Linked DNA regions of Callithrix jacchus. The protein of the gene in region 1 interacts with the protein of each later gene in a pairwise test. Links are inferred from orthologs where the notes say so. Each region holds a gene or a part of one and is shown in the gene's direction. Other genes may lie near its edges.

Region 1 (4,097 bases):
GACGTGAACACGGGGTGCTACAAGTCAAGACCCCAAGTTAATAACTCCTAAGCACTTACAATGGTCCCGAAAATCTTCCTGTTCCCACGGCAAGCGTTAAAGAGTCATTCAGCTCTGAATAATCGGGTGGCTTTGGCATTTCAGAGAAAGCCACCATAAAAATAAATCCCCTGGGTCACCCGGCTCAGAGAGAGGTGAGCGCCGCCAGCCCGAAGCACCAGCTACTAATGATTAAGAACGGCGTGACTGCGGCGGGTCACGCGCTGCCCGGTTCCCGTCGCCGCCGCCGGGGCCCCACTCTGGGAACCCGACCCGGCCGGGAGGCGTCCCAGCCACCTGGGCCTCCCGGCGGCCGGCCCCGCCCCCTACTGAGCTGCAGCACCTGCACGCAGCGACCAGGGCTGTGCAGGCGACGCCAGGCCGCGGCCTCGCCGCCCTGCAGCGCCGCGAGTTCAGCGCCAGTCAGCGGCCGCCGGCAGAGCCTGCCTGCAAAGCTGAGATCCCGGATCTCACCTTCCTGTCCCGGGTGGCCAGCCCGCCCGCCGTCCCGGATACCGCCGCAGTCGGGGCTTCCGGCTCGGGCCGGAAGCGCACGCGCCCCGCCCCCGGAGGCCCGCCCCGCTCATGACGTCAGAGCGCCTCTGCCAGACGCACAGCTTCTCGGAGCGAGAACAAAGCGGCCGAAGTTGGGGCTTGATACCCGGCTCTGGCGTTGCAGGTGGCAGCGCGTCCCTTCAGGCGGGCGGTTGTCTGGGCCTGGCGACTCAGCGCTCTTCAGCCTTGCCCTCTGGTTCCCGCTCGTGACTGTCATCGCCCCATCACTCCTTGCTGCGGAGAGCATCGCAGGGACTTGGAGGACCGGCATCGATCGCTTTGGCCCGCGAGTGTCCGTCCGAGCCGAGGGGAGCCCGCCTTCCCGCCCCTTCTCTGGGCCTGGCCAGGCACCTTGCCCGCCGTCGCACAGACGCGAGCACGGAGCAGTAGATCACGGTGAGGCGAAACAAGCCCGGAGCGGCCCTGTAGGCCGGACAACCGCTACGCAGTTGGGCTGGGCGGGGGGAGGGGCGCACGCCGCAATGCGGCAGACATGGCGTCGCCGCGGGGTGCAGGTCCCTCGGGGCTTAAGGCCTGCACGTTGGCACCTTTAGCTAACCCGTCTGCTCTGTCTTGCAGGCTGCTGGACCTCGCCACGTTGAGGAGATTTCTCTGGGGTACCGCGGAGGATTACTTTGAATTGCGGTGGCTACCTGTGGTCTGGAATATTTAGAACTTAAGTCTATTATTTCGGGCACCATGAGTTTGAGGCTTTTAGAAGACTGGTGCCGGGGGATGGACATGAGCCCTCGGAAAGCGCTGCTGATTGCCGGCATCCCCGAGAGCTGCAGTGTGGCAGAAATCGAGGAGGCTCTGCAGGCTGGTTTAGCTCCCCTAGGGGAGTATAGACTGCTTGGAAGGATGTTCAGGAGGGATGAGAACTGCAAAGTAGCCCTAGTTGGGCTTGCTGCGGAGACTAGTCGTGCACTGGTCCCTAAGGAGATACCGGGAAAAGGGGGTATCTGGAGAGTGCTCTTTAAGACCCCCGACCCAGATAATGATTTCCTAAGCAGATTAAATGAATTTTTAGAGGGAGAGGGCATGACAATGGGTGAGTTGACCAGAGCTCTTAGATATGAAAATGGCTCCTTAGACCTAGGGCAGGGCATGATCCCAGAAATGTGGGCCCCTATGTTGGCACAGGCATTAAATGAGGCTCTTGAGCCTGCCCTGCAGTACTTCCACTATAAAAAGCTGAGCGTGTTCTCAGGCAGTGATTCTCCAGAACCGGAAGAAGAAGAATTTGAACCCTGGCTGTTTCATACTACTCAGATGTTAAAGGTGTGGGAGGTGTCAGATGCAGAGAAGAGAAGGCGAGTGCTAGAGAGCCTTCGAGGCCCAGCACTTGATGTTATTCGTGTCCTCAAGATAAACAATCCTTTAATTACTGTTGATGAATGCCTGCAGGCTCTTGAGCAGGTATTTGGGGTTACAGATAGTCCTAGAGAGTTGCATGACAAATTTCTAAACACTTACCAGAAGGAGGAAGAAAAGTTATCTGATTATGTACTAAGGCTGGAGCCTTTGTTACAGAAGCTGGTACAGAAAGGAGCAATTGAGAGAGATGCTGTGAATCAGGCCCGCCTAGACCAAGTCATTGCTGGGGCAGTCCACAGAACAGTTCGCAGAGAGCTTAATCTGCCGGAGGATGGCCCAGCCCCTAGTTTATTGCAGTTACTGGTACTAATAAAGGATTATGAAGCAGCTGAGGAGGAGGAGGCCCTTCTCCAGGCAGTATTAGACGGGCATTTCACCTGAATCTCAGGGAATCACGAAGGGATATAGCAATGAGCAGAGCATGAAAGTAGAACAGTCTGTACTCTTGTGACACATAAAATCCCTGCCTTGTGCTGCCAAGTTACTCGTTTTTGTGCAGTTGTCAGTATAAGCCCTTTGTTATTTCTGTGCCTATTTAAGATCTAAAGGTGTCAGTGACCAGGAAGGATGTAGTTCTACACTGCTGTTTACCTATTTAAATTCATTCCTGTGAATATCTTGTTTGTTGTCGTTGAGACTGAGTCTTGCTCTGTCGCACAGGCTGGAATGCAGTGACGCAATCTTGACCCACTGCACGCTCCACCTCCCGGGTTTAAGTGATTCTCCTGCCCCAGTCTCCTGAGTAGCTGGGACTACAGGTGTGTGCTGCCACACCCAGCTAATTTTTGTACTTTCGGTAGAGACAGGGTTTCACCATGTTGGCCAGGCTGGTCTCGAACCCCTGACCTCAAGTGATCAACCTGCCTCGGCCTCCAAAAGTGCTGGGATTATAGGTGTGAGCCACCGTGCCTGGCTTCATCCCTGTGAATTTCTTATTGTACAAAAGTTCTTTAACTACCTGTGTACAGTGCTCTGAGGGGACAGACAAGGCTCAGGTGCATATGCTGATCAAATCTCATTGAACTGTCAGCTTGTTTGGTACCAAGTGCAAGTGTGCCATGTCACATGTGACCATGTTGGATCATTAACAATTTTTAGGTATGTGCTAACCTACATTTATGGTGTAGATTATGAGTGGAGGTTAAGATACTAAGTTATTATCTGTATGAATCAGAATTATATTGATTCTGTACAAAAACAAAAGACAGAATTGAATGCTGATTTAAGTTTGCAGTGACCATCTTTAACCACAGATTTCTGCTATGTGTTACCAAAATATCTAGTTCTGAGTATCATTTTCACAATTGTTATGAAATTATAGGTGTGAACTTCTAAAATAAAAGAATGCTAATAAAATGATTTTGTCTGTTTTGTTTATATCAGGGTTCCAAGAGAGATTTCATTTGAATAAAGAGTTCCCAGAGCATTAATCTGCAAACCACTGAACCTACACAGACTTAGTTCCCAGGATTCTTTCCACTTGGTGCTGAGGGGTAGGAAATTGTTTTCTAAGTGAGATTGCTGAGGGGACCTTCTGCTGAAGCAGTAAAACAATTATATTACTGCTTCTACTGTAATATTAACTGACATGCACTCTGAATAGATTAGAAGGTGTAATTCTGATCTTGTTTATATATGTGTAGTCATTTGGAGCATACAGGCACTGTGACATGGGCCACTCACTTGCCCCCTCAGTAGTGGGAAGCAGACATGGTGAATTTGTGCACAAACAAGTGTTAATATGTGTTGCACCTCTCCATCTGTGAGGCACTAAGCTGAGGGCTTAAGACTGCGTCATTACATTTAGACTACAGTCCCTGCCCTGGAGGTCAGTGATGATAGCTCTGTTGAACACCAGATACGGAGCACCAGTGAACACGTTTGGTGCCCCCACAAGCTCAGTCTTTTATTTTCCCCATTGTACGTATGAGACTGAGAAGCTAAGTAACTTGCCCAGGGTTTCACAGCTAGTGAGTGGCAAGGCTCAGACACTTCCAGAGTTTTTGATCTTAATGTATTCCGTGCTGCCTTATTCAGAAACCTACTGTTTCCCCATTTTACAGATGAGAAGCTTGAGGATCAGAAAGATTCAATGCCAGGGGCAAGGGCTCATAGTGTGATTCCAC
Region 2 (3,818 bases), on another chromosome or scaffold:
GTGGTGACATAGAGTGTAGACAAATCTGAAGAATTTTATTCAGCTGTGAAGGAAAAGAGCAAGGGACAGCATCTATGAGAGGGGACTTTAAATTTTAAAAAATATATTAATGCCTCAACTATAAAAACTACCTAGCAGTAATATATTAACACTACTTTAAAATTTATTCTGTAAGACACCTCAAATACCCACCAAGCCAATTAAAGATAAAAGGAAAGAGATCAAAAGCCTTTACAGGTAGGAGATGATAATTAGCAACTTGGAATAATATTGTTATTGGTATCAAGCATTAAATTAGATGTGAAGTTCTTAGCAATTGAGACAAAAAGGGACATATAATGGTTTCATGCTTCTCATTCTCTGTTAGAGGTAGCTCCATTTTTAAGAATAAAACTTTCCTGGTACTACATTTCAAGAGGTATTTATTATATTCAATCTTACATGTTGTAACTGAGTTAACATTGTGTGTGTGTGCACGCGCACACGTACTTCAAAAACATTATCAAATGTATGGAACTATATTCTTTCATGGATATAAATAATTTATATAGTGCTATTTCTTTTTTCTATTTACTTTCACATTTTAGGGAATGTTCTTTTTGTGGCTTTTTTAAAAAAACCCAATTCATAGAAAACCCAGAGGTATAATCTTATTGTTGTAAATCAGTGAAGTTAACTTTAATTATAGAGAGAGGTTGATGTACAGATCATTGTTTTCCTAGTTTCAGAGTTGTTACTAGGGAAGAGTTTAGGAAGAGTGCAATTAAACAAGCCTATTAGATTCTTTCAGATACTGCTAATTCTTGATAAAAGCTTTGGCAAGAACTAGATTTTCATCAGTTAAAAGTTGTCGGTATTCTTCACTGTTGATTTTCATGTGCTTCAGATACTGTTTATCAGATATTAGGTGTTTTAAAAATTGAAAGAATATGTATTGACACTGTAGATTTGTAACATAATCAAGATTAGAAGCTGAAATAGTGGCTGGGCGTGGTGGCTCACACCTGTAATCCCAGACTTTGGGAGGCCAAGGTGGGCAGATCACTTGACGTTGGGAGTTCAAGACCAGCCTGACCAACATGGAGAAACCCCATTTCTACTAAAAATACAGTGCAATGCAATTACAGGCATGGTGGCACATGCCTGTAATCCCAGCTACCCGGGAGGCTGAGGCAGGAGTATTGCTTGAACCCAGGAGGCCAAGGTTGCAGTGAACTGAGATTGTGCCATTGCACTCCAGCTTGGGCAACGAGAGCAAACTCTGTGTCAAAAAAAAAAAAAGAAGTTGAAATACTAATGCCATAATAAAGTCACTATAGAAAGGGCTTATTTTTGTGATGCTAATTTGATATATACCGTATATGGTTATCTCATACTAGTGCTTCTTAGGATATAATATTATTAGTTAGGATATAATACCTGTGACTTTCAACATAGATTCAAATTAGCGTTGGTTTAAACAATGTAAAAATTTATTTGTTCTCCCCTCATAACAAAGTCTGGAAGCAGGCAGTCCAAGGCTGGTAAGGAATGCTTCTCAGTGAGATTGTCTAGACCCAGATTTCTTCTGCCTTCTTGTTCCATCATCTCTTGGTGTTTGCCCTTTTTTCTGTAGTGCAAGGTGGCTCATTCTCAATCTGCATTTAGCCAGCAGAAACAGGAAAAGGCCAGTGGTAAAATATGGCCCAAAAGTTGCACATGTCACTTCTCCTCCCAACTGATTGGCACATGGCCATCCTAGCAGCAAGATTGGTTGGGAAGCATAATCTTTAATTCTGAATAACCATGTGTCCTGCCAAAATTCAGGGGCTCCACCAATGTAGATAAAGAGAGTCTATTGGGGTCTATGAGTTCCCTAAAATGATTTGTAAAAGTTCATATATTTGTAAATGTGTACTTTTCTGATAAATTTTATTAGATTCTGAAAAGGGTTTGTGACCAAAGCTAAGTTAAGAATATTTAGATGTTTGTAAAAGGATTTAAATGATTTATTTAATATAACATTTATTTTATTAGCTCTATTCCAATTGATTACAACCTGTATCGAAAATTCTGGTCACTTCAGGATTACTTCAGGAACCCTGTGCAATGCTATGAGAAGATTTCATGGAAAACTTTTCTCAAGGTGAGTTGCCAGTGACAGACTATCAGAAGCCCAGTATTTTATATAGTCAGTAATAGAGCTAAAACTTAATCTTGTCTGACATACTTTTTGCTTATATAATTCTGCCTCTTACATTTTTATACCAATTTCATAACAAGCTAAATTATAAATTAATATTTAAACCCCTAATATTGTGAAGTAACATATAAGAATTGGATATTTAAAAGTTAGTCATTATAGCCTTGCTTTTTAAAAATGAGTGTTGTCAACATAAATTGATGATATTTTGCAGAATACATTCTATCTTTACTTTGCACAAAATTATTTTAGCTATCTTGTTGAAACAGAAGTCCTCAAACCATGGTCTTGGGCCAGATTCAACCTATTGCTTGTAAACAAAGATTTATTGGAATACTACCATGACCATCCACTTACCTGTGGCTGTTTTTGCACTATAATGGCACAGCTGAGTAGTTGTAACTGAGACTATACAGGCCACAAAGCCTGAGATACTCTCTGGTCCTTTACAGAAAATGTTTGCCAATCCTGTTTTAGAAGAATTTTTGTTTTTCTTGGCTACTTAAAGATCAGTTGTCCTTTTTTGTCATAATCAAAATCTAAGATAAATAGGTAGTTCTCTCAAAGTAGCATGGTGTGTATTCTGTTATTTTTAATAGTTTTTATTTTATGTGCAAATTTTTGTGCGAGTAGCACCATCCAAATTCAGATTAAGTGGTTAGTGAAAAATGACCTGGAATTGTCTATTCTAACTGGGCAGAATTTGATGGAATTTATTTGGTCAGTCTTTAGCACAAGAAATGCCTTAGAGTTAATCCACAGGTGATAAGAGAATTTCACTGGTAAATTTCTGTATAGTCTTAAAGTGTTCCCTTCTCTGTTTGCCCCTTACACAAACTTCTTAAGAAATCATATCTTTAGGAGTAGAGAATTTGTTCCTACTTTTACAGTAAGTGAAATATCATACAAAATGGTTTTTAATCTCATTTTGCTATAATAATTTTTATTGTTGGTATGCTTTACAATATAAATACATGATTGGGAGTAAATTCTAGGTATTTTGATGCAGAAAAGAACTAAACAAATTTTGGCAACAATGTTGAATAAAGCTAATATTTTTATTTTGCAGTATTCTGAAGAAGTTTTAGCTGTTTTTAAGAGTTACAAACTGGATGATACTCAGGCCTCAAGAAAAAAGATGGAAGAATTGAAAACAGGCGGAGAGCATGTATATTTTGCAAAATTTTTAACAAGTGAAAAGGTATAAGTTTTTCTTTTTCACTAAGCATAGTAAAAAATGGTCTTGTTTTGTTTCTGTTTAGCTGACAGCCTTTCTAAGTTAAGTTGAATAAAAATGTTTCTTATTGTACTTTTGGTTAAAGCTGATTAATGTTAGTTTGAAAGTCCCATTTCTTCCTTTCTCAAGCAGGACTAATTTGATTTCAAAGGTGAAAGTAGTTCTACAGTAAGTCTGTTTTGTAGACTAATTTTAGAATAAATGCAGTTTAATTATTTTCATGTCTATATATTTTAAACATCAAGTTAGGATTTAATTTGTACTTATGAAAATAATATTATTTAGGTACAAGTAATGGGTTTAAAACTTTCTTGTTAATCTTATTTATACATTTTAAAAAGTAAATTTTGTTCAAATATGATGCTACAAGATTATGTAAAGTTTCTAGTCAAAATGGCA

The links.
Region 2: the proteins of MOAP1 (region 1) and THOC1 interact in binary tests that used the Homo sapiens proteins (3 or more experiments, as listed by UniProt). The two-hybrid records come from large-scale screens. The link is inferred for Callithrix jacchus from reciprocal best matches to the Homo sapiens genes MOAP1 and THOC1.

Annotation. Positions count from the first base shown.
Region 1 is NC_133509.1:127,995,722-127,999,818, reverse strand, and holds MOAP1 (modulator of apoptosis 1), read left to right. Parts: upstream 1-1,221; 5' UTR 1,222-1,293; coding exon 1,294-2,352; 3' UTR 2,353-3,327; downstream 3,328-4,097. Other genes in the region: LYSET (lysosomal enzyme trafficking factor), read right to left, coding at 60-157; uncharacterized protein LOC103795890, read left to right, coding at 228-990, 1,174-1,196.
Region 2 is NC_133514.1:63,784,634-63,788,451, forward strand, and holds part of THOC1 (THO complex subunit 1), read left to right. Parts: intron 1-2,016; coding exon 2,017-2,125; intron 2,126-3,251; coding exon 3,252-3,383; intron 3,384-3,818. UniProt on the Homo sapiens protein: Component of the THO subcomplex of the TREX complex which is thought to couple mRNA transcription, processing and nuclear export, and which specifically associates with spliced mRNA and not with unspliced pre-mRNA.